Lonchura striata: one gene and its partner. The protein of the gene in region 1 interacts with the protein of each later gene in a pairwise test. Links are inferred from orthologs where the notes say so. Each region holds a gene or a part of one and is shown in the gene's direction. Other genes may lie near its edges.

Region 1 (7,081 bases):
AAACCACTGTGCTACAGGTGAACCAGATAAACAGTTCATTCAGTTTGAGAAGGCTCAGATTATGAGAAGCACTACAAGTACTGGATCTTTTTTTTGTAAATGACTCCTGAGGAACCAACAATATAAAACCATGGATTTCATTACATAATTTCATTGTGGTTTTGGCTGACCATTTTATTTAAGATAATCTTATTTTTAGTGTATGTGTTTAGAGAGTTTGGTCACAATCCATATAAATAATTATTAAATCAAAAATTTAATGAGAGATTTTATGGGTTTGCAACTGACTCATATATGAATCATCCAGCTTTAGTGCCATTGATTTTTAAAATTACTTACAAAATAGAATTCTAATTTCACTTACAAGATTTCCATCATTTACATAAATAATAGCATGTGAAATTCTTATTCTCCATTTCTTCAGATCTCTTCTCAAAACTTATCTCTGCTACTGTGCCCAAAATAATAGATTATCAATAAAGATTGACAGTTATTTAACTCAATGCTTTTCTCCTCACAGTATAATTTGTTTTTCATGTGTCTTTTTGTTACAACACCTGCAATTTTATTAATTATTATGTACAAGGAAAAGCTCATCTGGAAAATACATGAGAAGCCTCAAAGAACACAAAGCACTATCAAAATCAAAAAAGCTGAGTTCTGCACAAGAGGGGCTCTTAGCTAACTATGTTTTAAAACAGGATAAACAAGAAAGGCTAGAGACATTTTCCTAGTGTTTCTATGAAACTGTCTTACATTGATTTCACAGTCAGATGAAACAATACTGAAGACTGCCCACAGCTTAGTTCTTTGTACATTGTAGCAACAGCATTTCCATCAGTCACTTGAAGGAAAAAAAGGTTGTTTCCTCTAATACACCTAATAGACTGTATTTTAACTACTGTAGTAATAATTGTTAAAATTCTAAGCAAATGAAACATTTAATTCCAAGAAAAGTTAAAGAAGCCGGTGAAAGGTACGCAAGCTGTTTAAAACAAGGCATTTCCTCTGGAATTTTTTTCTTGCTATCTAGTCCTGTTTATTATTCTATATAATACACTCTCTGAAAGAGGAGCTGTTTCTCAGGATAACTTTGTTAATAAAAGGAAAATATTTCAGTTCCACATTGATAGTATAATTCAGGAAGATGAACATAAAATCGGCTGAGAGTAAGCTAAGCAATTAATATAGTGGGGGCAAAGTATGTGTTTCTGGAGAAAACCAGAAATCTGACTTTAGCTAAGTTGCTGAAAAACACTTACAAAACTTACACAGGAAAGATTTTCAGTCCATGCATCTTAACATAATAAAGACATTTTATTTCATCATGTAATTTAAATTACACCACTAACTATTTTAAAACTTGTGGTCACATGGTCTCTTACATAACTAACAGTTTACTAAACATGATTTCTGAAACTGTACTTAAACCACACTTCAAAGTGAATTAAGCTAAATCAGATCAAGATCACGTTACCTCTGAAAGAGGGTGTGCACAAAATGTACCAATGTAATCCAACTTATCTTCCTTGAAAGACCGATCTGGATACCCAAATGTCCCTGGTAAAGAAAATGCAGCAATTTTAGCTACGAGATGTTAAGCACCACCATGATTCCCAGGGTAGACAGTAAAAGTGTGCTCCATAGGCTTGCCCTGAAGTGAGATCTGTACCTCTGATAATCTACCAAGAGGCTGTGACAGGAAATTTTCTTCTCCATCATTCTTCCAGCTGGGTCCAAAAGAACATTAAGCTCTTGTTAGATGTGCCCCTCTGGGGGCAGCTATTAAACCTCCACATGGTTTCCAGTGGCCGAGAAAAGCCTTCTCAATTTATTAAAATGCACTAGTCTAGGGTTCTAAATTCAAGTTGGTAAAACAACCTTAACACCTATGGACAGGCTGGCAGCATTTCTCCCTTTTCAGGTCATGAGAGTGAGGGAACAAGAAAATGCTGCTGATCTGTTATATCACCTAATCCAGGCTCTGGCAAGCCAAAGGAGAAATAATAGTAAACAGGAAAGTCTATAAATAGCTTCAGAAATGACATCTTGTTTTTATAAAATTTTCTTGAAGTTGTTAACAGTCAAGCACCATTACTACTGAAACTTATTGTTATTAAAACTGCAACTGGGACCAGTGTCCAAAAGGTTTCCCTTAGGGTCTGAAGAAATAACAAAGTCTAACCCATAGAGACCAAGTGAGAAAAAAGGAGAGGGGAGGGGAGAGGAGGAGGGGAGGAGAGGGGAGAAGAGGAGAGGAGGGGAGGGACCACCCCAAGGAAAAACCAGAGAGATGTCAGAATATGTAGTATTCAAAACTGGACTTTATTGGCCTCTTGTAAATAAGTGCTCTAGATACTGATCAAAGCTAAACTCTGGTTTACAGAAATGGTTTAAACAACAAAAAGAAAACAGTACACAACCTGTAGAAGACTCCTACCAGCTCAGCTGACCAGCATTACAGAAGAGGTTTTTAAACACCGGTGACACTGCTTATGTGTGTAACAACATAATCCTGTGTTTTCTCATTCTGCTTGAATATAGTTCCTTTCTAAATTCTGCTGAATTTCTGGGCTCAAAAATATCTTGTATCAATGTATGCTGTGAGCTAATTGTATCTATCACTAAAAAAATCCCATATTTAAATTTATCGCCATAACTTAGCAAACTGGAGTTTTGAATGAGTTTCATTGTAGTACAAATAATTTTAGGTAACATAATTTCATGAGTATCCTCTTTAAGACAATCTTACATTTTTTCAATCATTCTTCATGCTGGAGTGTCTCATTGTCTGCTCCCTAAGCTATTCTCTCTGCTCATCTTTGAAATATTTATATCTAAGCTATATGCTTTTAAAGACAGAACAAAAGACAAAGGAGTGATCCAGGCAATCTTAAGTGGGATATTAACATTTAAGTTATAGCATCTTGTTTGCTCTTTTAAAAGGTTTCCGTCCTTTAAATATAGATTAAAATTGAGTTGCCAATGCCTCAGCATTTTCCTCTAGTGGAATAAAGGCAGATCATATGCACGTACAAATGTTACTTTCTGTTTTGCATTTGTCATTAAAAACACGGACAACACCTGCAGTCCTTTTTTGTCTGGTTGCTTGGTTGGTTTTTTTGGTAATACTTCCAGGATTACATCCTGGGCTGTTATTTCTTCTAATGCTGATGAAAGAAACTGCAAAGTATTTTGGGAATTTTTGCCACATCAGCTTTTGTGAAAGAGGAGTCCAACAGGCTTGCTTCCAGCCACATGAAGAGCTCTGCTACTCCTACATCCCTGATACAATGGCCATTCCCAGACAAGCTCCCAGGCAAGAAAGGAAAGAGCCCTGTGACTCAGGACTTTTCTGCTCATTTCAGCTTGAATCTACAGAAGCAACAATTCATGAGGCTCCCCATACCTACCTCTCCTGAGCACAAGGGATGCAGAAATTCCAGTTCTGGGATAGTATGGACAGAAGGACACAAGCCTAAAGGATCTCCTTGGCCACACTTTCAGTCATTGGTCTCTGGAACACAGCTGCAACACATCATTAACCCAAGGATGTGGTCAGAGCAGCAAGCCTGGCAGAGTTCAAGCAGCATCTGAACAATGCTCTCAGGCTCATGGTGTGATTTTTGGAGTGTCCTGCACAGGGCCAGGAGCTAGACTCGACAATTCTGATGGGTCTCTTCCAACTCAGAATATTGTATGATTTTAACTTATTACAATTCACCTTCAAATCAAGGTTTTCCCCCCACAGCCCTAGTCCTAAATAACCCCTAGCAGCTTGTCTAAATGAGACAACACGTGCCTCTGCTTTAGCAATTTGGGCTCTTCGGGGGAGCCTGCTCACTCGCTCTCCCCTCTCCGAGGCGTCCCTCGGCCGCGGAGCAGCCGCCCGGGGCATGGCGCACCGCGGCGCCCGCGCAGCCCCGCTCCGGGCGCCGCCGCCGGCCCCAGGCACCGTCCCTCCCGCGGCTCCCTCCCGGCCTCGCCCAGCCCCCGAGGGCCCGGGCGAGGGGGCTGCCGGCGGCTGTGGGCGCGGAACTGTGGCGGCGAGGGGCGTGTTCCCAGCCGGGGCGAACCGCCAGCCGCGCCGGGAGCGTCGGGCGCCTTGGAAACGGGCGGAAGCCGGGAAGGAGCGGCGGGAGGAGGATGCTGAGCCCCGAGCGGCTCTCGCTGCCCGGCGCCGAGTACCTGGGTGAGGAGCGCGGCGCGGAGGCTTCCCGAGGGTTCTCTCTCCCTGCCGTGCTGCGGCCCGGCTCGGGGAGGGCTCGGCGGGCCGGGGTGGCCGCGGCCCGGCCTTTCCGGGGACGGCGGCGAGCGGCCCCGGGCTGGGCCGGGCTGAGGGGGCTCGCAGCGGCTCCGTGTCCGCCTTGGCTGGGGCGAGCAGCCCCGGACCGTAACAGAGCGGGGTTGTGGGCCCTGAGGTGGGAGGGCTGCGGAGCCCTCCGGGCACAGGGAGCATCCCTCCGGTGCCCGGAGGTGATGGAGAGCGCGGCCGGAGCTGAGCTGCCGCCTCCTTCCTCCACTGTCCGCTTTGGCGATGTGAGCGGTGTCCAGCCTCTCTGTGATAGACTTCACCCATTACCAACCTGTTTTGCTCACAGATCGATGTGAGCATCCTTATTTTATGCTCGTTTCCCAACAATGGGAAGGAGTGACGCTGATACGTTGCGAGCTGGTTCGAATGTTAGCTTTTGTTCTGAAATTAGGTAGCGTCGACAATGTTTCCCTACATAAAATGAAAATCTTTTAACCTGTGAAGCAGCTACTCCTTTGAAGACTACATCCTTTTTAAGCTGCCTGTAACGGCTTGATGTTCCAGGAAACTAAGGAGCAAAGTGATTTGATGTTAATGTGTCAAATAAAAATAATTAGGATGGAATAAAGTCAATATGACTTAATTTAATTGCTGAAAAGGAGATGAATTACGAGTAGTAAGCATTTGGATTGTGTTCAAGAGTGTTTGTGAAGTGAAACTGCAGCCATTACTTCCTAGGTCCAAGAGACTGTTCGATAACTCTTATAAAGGTATACATAATTTTCTGTGGTTTTCTTGTACAAGGGAGGTCAGAAATGGATCAGATTGTTTTGTGCTGTTTGTTCTATCATGATTTTGCCATTTCTGTAAGTAAAAATGGAACAAGAGTACAGAAACACTGCTGTAAATGGAAAACCTGTCTTGCCGTGGGTACTAGACTAGAAGACTTCTGTTTAACCATTTATGCAAAGGAGTGATCTAAGTCATCTTACAGTAGAATCTCAGTGTTCTGTAGCTGCTAGGCTGCTGTTAGGGTGCTTTGTGCATACCTGCATAACTGCAATGCTGTTCTGTGTCAAGGAAGTTCAAGAAATAGGTTTATTTACTGCTCTATTCAGGGTGACTCATGGGCCTCACCTTGCTGAAGTTGTTATTGCTGATTTCAGTTGTGGAGCTTTGGGTGTTTGAGAACAGCATCATAGTGCCATGTAGACACACTAGACACACACCCTTTGGGTTTGTGCTGTTCTGTCACACTACTTCAGCATTTTTAACCTACATGCTAATAGAGTAGTTCATACCTTTTCCAGAATGGCTCTAGGTTGAAAACTGCAAAATATATTTTCCTTAATGAACCAGCTTGGTTTCAGGTTCTTGTAATTGTTTTTAATTACATAGGCACTTTTAATTGTGTGAAACTTGTCAATAAGTATTGAATCACTCAAACCAATCTAGGAAGCAGACTAAAAATACTTAAAGTGTGAAAATAAACCAGTTTTCTGTTGCACATCTGAAAGCAAGACATGAGATATAAAAGAGAGATTTCTTAGATGTACAAGATTGTTAGGTGCAAGCAGCTTTACAAGTCACTTAAATAAGCCTCCTTTTATCTCTGTTCCACATGGTGATTTGGAATTACCTTTTCATTTTGTACAACTTTCTAAATTATTCTGACACTGGGGTTAGAAAAAGACATGTGACCATATTTGGGTGAAGAATGACTTCTATAAGAGTCTTTTCTGTTCATTACTTAGTATATCTTTGATTTAGATTGTAGTTTCTGCCGTCTATTAGAGGGGGAAACATATTCTTATTAGCTATAAATGTTACCAAAAGCAGTGTTTTTGCCTTCCTGAGACTTTGTAACTTGCCAAACTGCTCACAGATCCTAAAGAATTTAGTGTGGATTAGCAGTAGGAAAATGGTTAAAAACCAAACCAAAACAACCCCCAACTCCCCCTTCTCCCACCCCAAACAAACACACCTCCCCACATGTTTTTCTGAGTTGCATTTCTGTTTTCTACATTGGCATTTTGAAATCACCATTATTTGGATTGTTCTGTTGTGCACCTCAGGGTCTTGTTAATACAGTTATCTGAAGTGGGGTTGTAAGGAGCTGTGATAAATTTCACTTTCTGTAATTTCATTCTGAAGTTCTTTGCCTTAGCTTGCCACTTAAGGTACTGACTCTCACAGATGGGTAACTCACCCAAACCCTTCTTCCTCTTGTCTCATTATCAAAACCAGGCTAACACGTAAATTGAGCAGCCAGAATAACATAATGTGCTACTTGCTGTGTTATTCTACACAGCCCGCAGCCCCTGCTCTATTTGAGATAATTCTTCTACAGCCAGCTAGAATGCTGAGAGGGAAATAAAAGCAGTTTTGCGTTAAAATAGACATGAACAGGGAGAGAATTAAGTATTAACTTTAGATGAAAAATAATTGCAAAGCTTTGTTATGCCAGAGTTCCTGGAATATGAAAATCAGGGCAACATGTCTCATGCCACAATGAGACAGTAAGTAGAAGAAAAGAGATAACCATTATTTAGGGAATGGGAGTGGAGATGAGGTCTACAGAGTTGGCAGAAATGCTATAGTGAAGATGATGTTGTTACAAGCATGACATTATAAACAGTATTTTCACTGAATAAACAGCATTTATTGTTTGGGTATAGCGATGATAATCTGTTTCTCATTTGATGGATGAGACTGGACCTACAGTAGGCAAAATGAGGCATATTTGAGAGACTTTTTCTTGGCTTCCTCCTTATGGTTTAATAACTGGTGATTGCTCAGTTATTTATAACAGGCAGTGGAGCACTT
Region 2 (7,918 bases), on another chromosome or scaffold:
AGGTGCTGATCCTGCTCTACATCGCTGACTGGATGGTGCACTGGATGTGGGGCAGGCACCTGGACCCCGACAACTTCTCCATCCCGTACCTGACAGCTCTGGGGGACCTCATTGGGACAGGGCTCCTGGCCCTCAGCTTCCACGTGCTCTGGCTCATCGGGGACCGGGACTCCGATGTTGGGGATTAAATCTCCCTGCTCCTCCCTTCCCGCAGCTCTCCTCCTTCCATTTGTTGTTTCTTTGCTTCCCCCTCCTGCCACCTCCCCCCCATCCTGGAAGATTTCACCTTTGATACCGGATTCTCATTATTTTCAATGGGAATTTTACGTGGTTTATATTTCAAGTCAAGTTTGTACAGAAAAATCGATCTAGTTTTAGGAAGGACAAACAAACAAACAAAAAGTGTAACGAGACAATCACTAAGTGCAATTTTCGTAGCAGTCATGTCTGAACCAAGGTTCCAGTGAAGTTCCTGCTCAGTCGGATCATGCAGGGAGCCCCCCCTGCCCCCTCCCTCGAGGTGCAGGGCTGCTTTTTTCGCTTCATAAGCGTTTTAAACCCTGCAGGTCGAGCTCAGGTTTGTTCAGCTGAGCTGGCACCTTCCAGCCAAGTGCAACCTCATGGCTCAGGGCATGGGGTAGCCCTGCCTTGGCTCTCTGAAGCTCCAGCCTGGGCCCACATCCAAAAATGGGGAGTGTCTATGAGGAGGGTGATGAGGAAGGCTCCTGTGTTCACCCCAGGAATGTGAGTGAGCTGATCTGAGAGCCCCTGGCTGGGCTCTGCTGGCAGCTCCAGGCTCCCTTTTGCCACCCACGCTGCTTCTGCCTTGGTGAGCCCAGCTCAGCTGCTCTGAGCTTCTCCCAGAGGGGCTGGGAGCTCTGCCCACACCATCCCCACTGCCAGGGACCCTCTGCAGGACCTGCTGGAGCCCTCCTTGTGCTGCTCCCTTTCCCTCAGTGCACCCAGAGGGGCGCATGGATGGACAAACAGCTCCTGGTTCTGTGCCCAGCTTTCCTTTTGGCTGCTGACGGGGCCCTTGCAGGCAGGAAGGGATCCCTGGGGAACTCTTCCTGGACACCTGGACACACAATTTTTCCATCCTGCCATCCCTGGGCTGTTCCCCTGGGCAGGAGCATTTTGCTCCTGGTGTCTGTGGGATTTCCGTGCCAGCTGCAAAACAGCTGGGCATGCAGGATGAGTGGAGCCCTGGCTGTTGGGGCAGCTCTGTGGCACAGGAACCCCCCTGCCCGTGTGTGGAGCTGGGATGGGGGCTCAGCCCAGCTGGGGGGGCCCGGCTGAGCCCTGGCAGTGCAGGGTTCCCTCCTCTGCTGCTTCCCCTCCTGTTCCTGTGCTCTTCTCCTCGGGGCTGCCTGGAATTCCTGCTCTTCCCCTTAGGCCACGCTGGCAGGGCAGCAAAAACCAGAGCTAGGGGCAAACCAAGACCAAAGTTAGTCCAGGCTCACTGTGCCAGGCCAGGAGCTGCGTGCAGAGCTGGGCCTCGCTCCAGAGACGAGTTGGAAAAGAGGGTCGGGATGAAGTTTGGATGAAGTTCTTTTCCAGCTCCAGAAACGAGTTAGAGAGGGTCAGGATGAAGTTTGGACTAAGTTCTTTTTCAGCTCCAGAGATGAGTTGGAAAAGGCTCAGGATGAAGTTTGGATGAAGTTCTTTTCCAGCTCCAGAGACGAGTTGGAAAAGGTCAGGATGAAGTTCTGGATGAAGTTCTTTTCCAGCTCCAGAGAAGAGTTGGAAAAGAGGCTCAGGATGAAGTTCTGGAGATCACGGGGCAGGTGGAGCCAGAGCAGGGCTCCTGGCTGCTCCAGCCCTCGCTGGAGCTCTGCAGACCCTTCCCTGCTGCTGGTGCTGTGCAGGAGGCAGGGCTGGGCTCCAGGCTGCTCCTTCTCAGCCCCTCAGAAGAGCAGGTGTTGTATTTTGGGATGATTTCCCCCTTTTTCCCCTTGTTAATCCACCCTCAGGCTCAGTCCCCCTCCTCCTGTGCTCTGTGTCCCGGGTGGGAGCAGCTCTGACCCTCCTCTGTCCCCTCTGGGGACATTTCTCAGATCTCCTTTGGCCAAAGCTGTGCTCAAAGGGAAAAAAAAAAAAAAAAACAACCACAAAACAAACTTTGTTCCTGCTGTGCTGAACTCTCAGCCCAGGGACTTCTGGAGCATTCTCTGTAATATTTTCTGGAGTATTTCCTGGAATATTCTCAGCTGCTCACCTGATTTCTCTGCCTGATGTTGAGGAATAAATGCTAGACTTCCTCCCATTAACACTTCAGCTTTCATGGATACAGAGGGCAGCTCTGCTGGCCTGTCTGGTGTCACATCACCACTTAATCCCCCAGGAAAGGATTCCCTAGAGGAGGAATCTGCCTCTCATGGTGGGGGCTGCTGGGGCTGGGAGGGTCTGTACATTAAATATGGTCAAAGGTGTGCTTGGGGAATGGTCAGGGAAGAATTTAATTTAAAATGAGGAATATTGATTAAAAAAACAACAAAAAACAAACCTCTTCCCACTGGTTGCACTCCAATGCATGCCTACTCTACAGCTGCCTGCAGATGAAAATCCTGGTTTACTCTTTTATTAAAGGAAAAAGACTGTCTTAATTATTTATAGTTCCTATAACTGACAGATGTCGACCTAATGGATAAATTATATTTGGTTAAATAAAGATGACATTTATTTATGTGGACTGTGGTGGGGTTTCTTTTGTTTTCTCCTTCAGGCTGAAGGCCCCTCTCAGGTTTTGAAGCTTATTGAGCCCAGGCTGAAGCTCTTTTGATAGGAGAAAATCAAATAAATTGCTGGGCATGGAGCAAGGTGGGATTGGTGTGAGTGCCAGGTGACCTCGGCCCTGCCCCTGGTCAGGTCCTGGCAGCTCCTGGAGGGTCCTGGCAGGAATCCAGGTGTTCCTCCTGGCAATCCAGGTGTTTCTTTGACAATCCAGGTGTTCCTCCTGGCAGTCCAGGTGTTTCTTTGACAATCCAGGTGTTCCTCCTGGCAATCCAGGTGTTTCTTTGACAATCCAGGTGTTCCTCCTGGCAGTCCAGGTGTTCTGCTGGCAGTCCAGGTGTTCCTCCTGTCAATCCAGGTGTTTCTGGCAATCCAGGTGTTCTGCTGGCAGTCCAGGTGTTTCTTTGGCAATCCAGGTGTTCTCCTGGCAATCCAGGTGTTTCTGCTGGCAGGGTTGGATAAAACCTTTTCCTGACTTAGAGATGGGGTAACTGAGAGGTGTTTTCAAAGCTTTTATTTTATTTTTAGTCTTGTGAGAAAGGTGAGACAATGTAAATGTTGTGATTTATGCTGTTACAATTAGAAGCTATTTCTTAATTACAAAACACTATAAGTGTTTTTGTAGTTTATTAACATTTCGTTACACTATGCTGTAGATACTTTAAAGTTATTTATCTAAAATTGCTCTTCATAAATCTTATTACATTGTACCTTTCATAGTTCTATTTCTCCAAAGTACCTAATCTTATTTACAAAATCATCTTTTGAAACTTTTTTCTAGCTCAATTTCTGTCTCAGCAACATCTGTGCTATTCCATAACATTTCCAAATCAGCATTTCCTGTCTCAGAGTTTGCATACAAATACATGCTTTACAAACTTTCTGTCACACCCTAAAAACTCTACAAAGTCATTTCCCACATCCCAGCAACAGGGAACCTCGTTTCAAAATGGAAATCTGTTGGGAGAGGTGTTTGTGCACGTTTGTGGGGTGCAGGGAGCGTGGCCTGGGGTCCTGGGGTGCCTGGGGCAGGAATTTGGGGAGCACAGGGGTGAATTTGGGGTTGCAGAGGATGTGCAGGGCTGGATCTGGGGGTGCAGGGCTGGATTTGGGGGTGCAGAGGTGTCTGGGGCTGGAATTTGGGGTGCACAGGGCTGGATCTGGGGATTCAGAGGATGTGCAGGGTGGGGTTTGGGGTTTTAGGGCTGGATTTGGGGATACAGAGAGTGTGCATGGCAGAGTTTGGGGGTGCACAGGGCTGGGGCTGGAATTTGGGGTGCACAGGCTGGATCTGGGGATTCAGAGGATGTGCAGGGCAGGATCTGGGGGTGCACAGAGCAAGGTCTGGGGGAACAGGGGTGCATGGGGCTGGGGGTGCTCCCAGCAGGACCTGGGGGTGCTCAGAGCAGATCTGGGGATGCACAGAGCAGGATTTGGGGGTGCTCAGAGCAGGATTTGGGGCTGCTCACAGCAGGATTTGGGGATGCTCACAGCAGGATTTGGGGGTGCTCACAGCAGGATTTGGGGGTGCTCACAGCAGGATCTGGGGGTGCTCAGAGCAGGATCTGGGGGTGCTCACAGCAGGATCTGGGGGTGCTCACAGCAGGATCTGGGGATGCTCGCAGCAGTATTTGGGGGTGCTCGCAGCAGGATTTGGGGGTGCTCACAGCAGTATTTGGGGATGCTCACAGCAGGATCTGGGGGTGCTCGCAGCAGTATTTGGGGATGCTCACAGCAGTATTTGGGGCTGCTCACAGCAGGATCTGGGGGTGCTCAGAGCAGGATTTGGGGCTGCTCACAGCAGGATTTGGGGGTGCTCACAGCAGGATCTGGGGGTGCTCACAGCAGTATTTGGGGATGCTCACAGCAGGATCTGGGGGCGCTCACAGCAGGATCTGGGGGTGCTCACAGCAGTATTTGGGGGTGCTCAGAGCAGGATCTGGGGGTGCTCAGAGCAGGATCTGGGGATGCTCGCAGCAGTATTTGGGGGTGCTCGCAGCAGTATTTGGGGGTGCTCGCAGCAGTATTTGGGGGTGCTCAGAGCAGGATCTGGGGGTGCTCGCAGCAGGACCAGCTGGCACAGGCGCTGCGCGGGGCCGGATCTGACGCTGGCTCCGGCTCAAGGCAGCGAACTACAGATCCCGGCACCGCGGGCGGCTCGGGCGCCGCCCCGGCCGAGCCTCACATGACGGGGCCGGGCCGGGCCGGGCCGGGATGGGGCAGCGCGATCGGATGTTCAAGGTGCTGGTGGTGGGCGACGCCACGGTGGGCAAGACCTCGCTGGTGCAGCGCTACGCCAACGACAGCTTCAACCGGCACTACAAATCCACCGTGGGAGGTGAGCCCGACCCTCCCCGGGCTCCGGCGCTTCCCGGGGGGTTCCCGGGGTGTTCCCGGGGGGTTCCCGGCGGTTCCCGGGTTTTTCCCGGGGGGTTCCCGAGGTTTTCCCGGGGGGTTCCCGGCCGTTCCCGGGTTTTTCCCGGGGGGTTCCCGGCGGTTCCCGGGGTTTTCCCTGGGGGTTCCCGAGGTTTTCCCGGGGGGTTCCCGGGTGTTTCCTGGGGTGTTTCCGGCGGTTCCCGGGTGTTCCCGGCGATTCCCGGGTGTTCCCGGGGGTTTCCGGCCGTTCCCGGGGGTTCCCGGGGTTTTCCCGGGGGTGCTCCCGGGGTGTTTCGCGGGGTGATTCCCGGGGATGTTTCCCGGGGGGTTCCCGGGGTGTTCCCGGGGGTTCCCGGGATTTTCCCGGGGTGTTTCCCGGGTGTTCCCGGCGATTCCCGGGTGTTTCCCGGGGGTTCCCAGGGTTTTCCCGGGTGTTTCCCGGGTGTTCCCAGGGTTTTCCCGGGTGTTTCCCGGGTGTTCCCGGCGATTCCCGGCGGTTCCCGGCGGTTCCCGGGCTCCGGCGCCGCGCCCGTCCCGGTGCGCATCCCCAGCCCGGAGCGCTCCGCGCCCTCGTCCCGCGGCACCGCGCCCCGCTCCCCCGGCGGTGGCTTGGGATTCCGGGGTGGGAGCAGCCGCCTGTCGCCGGGCTTTGTGGGGTGTTAGCTGGCAGACCTTCTCCGCCGAGCCCCCGGGGGATGCTGGAGCTCTGCCCGGCTCACTTGGGGTGCCCCATCCTTCTCCCACCCTCTGGAATAACCACCCCAGGAGCTGTAAGATGGATAGGCTGAGGTTCCAGGCTCAGCTTATCCCAGTAAAACCAGCAGCAGCACTGGTTTGGCATTAATTGAACAGCCCTGAAGTCCTCAGGAGCTTCTGTCCTTGTGCCAGGCTCATTTCGGGTTCCCCATCCTTCTCCCACCCTCTGGAATAACCACCCCAGGAGCTGTAAAATAGATAGTCTGAGGTTATAGGTTTATCTTATCCTAGTAAAACCAGCAACAGCGCTGGTTTGGCATTAATTAAACACACCCTGAAATCCTCAGGAGCATTTGTCCTACCAGGCTCATTTGGGGATGCCCCTACCTCTTGGAATAACCACTCCAGGAGCTGTAAGATGGATAGGCTGAGGTTCCAGGCTCAGTTTATCCCAGTAAAACCAGCAGCAGTGCTGGTCTGGCATTAATTAAACACACCCTGAAGGCCTCAGGAGCATTTGTCCTTGTGCCAGGCTCATTTCGGGTTCCCCATCCTTCTCCCACCCTCTGGAATAACCACTCCAGGAGCTGTAAGATGGATAGGCTGAGGTTATAAATTCAGTTTATCCCAGTACAACCAGCAACAGTGCTGGTCTGGCATTAATTAAACAACCCTGAAGGCCTCAGGAGCATTTGTCCTTCTGCCAGACTCATTTGGGGTTCCCCATCCTTCTCCCACCCTCTGGAATAACCACCCCAGGAGCTGTCAAATAGATAGTCTGAGGTTATAGGTTTATCTTATCCTAGTAAAACCAGCAACAGCGCTGGTTTGGCATTAATTAAACACACCCTGAAGTCCTCAGGATCCTTTGTACTTGTTCCAGACTCATTTGGGTTGCCCCCACCCTCTGGAATAACCACCCCAGGAGCTGTAAGATGGATAGGCTGAGGTTCTAGGCTTAGTTTATCCCAGTAAAACCAGCAGCAGTGCTGGTCTGGCATTAATTAAACAGTCCTGAAGTCTTCAGGAGTTTCTGTCCTTGTGCCAGAATCATTTGGATGCCCCATCCTTCTCCCACCTCCTGGAATAACCACCCCAGGAGCTGTAAGATGGATAGGCTGAGGTTCCAGGCTCAGTTTATCCCAGTAAAACCAGCAACAGTGCTGGTCTGGCATTAATTAAACACACCCTGAAGTCCTCAGGAGTATTTGTCCTTCTGCCAGACTCATTTCAGGTTCCCCATCCTTCTCCCACCCTCTGGAATAACCACCCCAGGAGCTGTAAAATAGTCTGAGGTTATAGGTTTATCTTATCCTAGTAAAACCAGCAACAGCGCTGGTTTGGCATTAATTAAACACACCCTGAAGTCCTCAGGATCATTTGTCCTTGTGCCAGACTCATTTGGGGTGCCCCCACCCTCTGGAATAACCACCCCAGGAGCTGTAAGATGGATAGGCTGAGGTTCTAGGCTTAGTTTATCCCAGTAAAACCAGCAGCAGTGCTGGTCTGGCATTAATTAAACAGTCCTGAAGTCTTCAGGAGTTTCTGTCCTTGTGCCAGGCCCATTTGGGGTGCCCCTACCCAATTAATTTGGCATTAATTTAACAGCCTGGCCTCGCTGCTGAGGGCTCAGCAGCTCTTGGGAAGCTCTGTGAGGAAGAGGCTGGGAATGGGGCTGAGCAGGATTTTGGTTCTTTGTGTAAATGAATAACCTGGAAGGAGCAGGAGCTGCCAAGGGTTTACCCAGGAAACCTCCCCCAGGACCCAAAATCGGGGGTGTTGAGCTCAGCTGTTTAAATCTTCTTATTCCTGACCCAAGAGGGGATGGATTAGAGGTGAAAACCCTGGAGAGGCACAGAGCTCCAGGCTGTGCCCAGCAGGAAATGCTGCAGACTGGTGGCTGGGGCTTTTCTTTTTGTACTTTGTTCCTGGTTTTGGTCAGCCCCAGCCCAGCTAGGTCTGGCTGCCAGGTTGAAACCCCGACACATCAGGATCTGAGAACAGCACAGAGCTTCCCCTTTTGACTCACTGGTGACAGCAAATATGGGGGGATCCAGCCTGGCAGGGACCTTACAGCTGCTGTCACCCCTTGAGCACGGACAACTTTCCCTGT

What was found.
Region 2: the proteins of CSTPP1 (region 1) and RAB29 interact in a two-hybrid assay, tested with the Homo sapiens proteins (2 studies listed by BioGRID and IntAct). The two-hybrid records come from large-scale screens. The link is inferred for Lonchura striata from reciprocal best matches to the Homo sapiens genes CSTPP1 and RAB29.

Annotation. Positions count from the first base shown.
Region 1 is NC_134608.1:38,958,506-38,965,586, forward strand, and holds the start of CSTPP1 (centriolar satellite-associated tubulin polyglutamylase complex regulator 1), read left to right. Parts: upstream 1-4,074; 5' UTR 4,075-4,146; coding exon 4,147-4,192; intron 4,193-7,081. UniProt on the Homo sapiens protein: Regulator of the tubulin polyglutamylase complex (TPGC) that controls cytoskeletal organization, nuclear shape, and cilium disassembly by balancing microtubule and actin assembly.
Region 2 is NC_134632.1:2,615,772-2,623,689, forward strand, and holds the start of RAB29 (ras-related protein Rab-7L1), read left to right. Parts: upstream 1-4,903; 5' UTR 4,904-4,947; coding exon 4,948-5,071; intron 5,072-7,918. Other genes in the region: SLC41A1 (solute carrier family 41 member 1), read left to right, coding at 3-188. UniProt on the Homo sapiens protein: The small GTPases Rab are key regulators in vesicle trafficking. Essential for maintaining the integrity of the endosome-trans-Golgi network structure.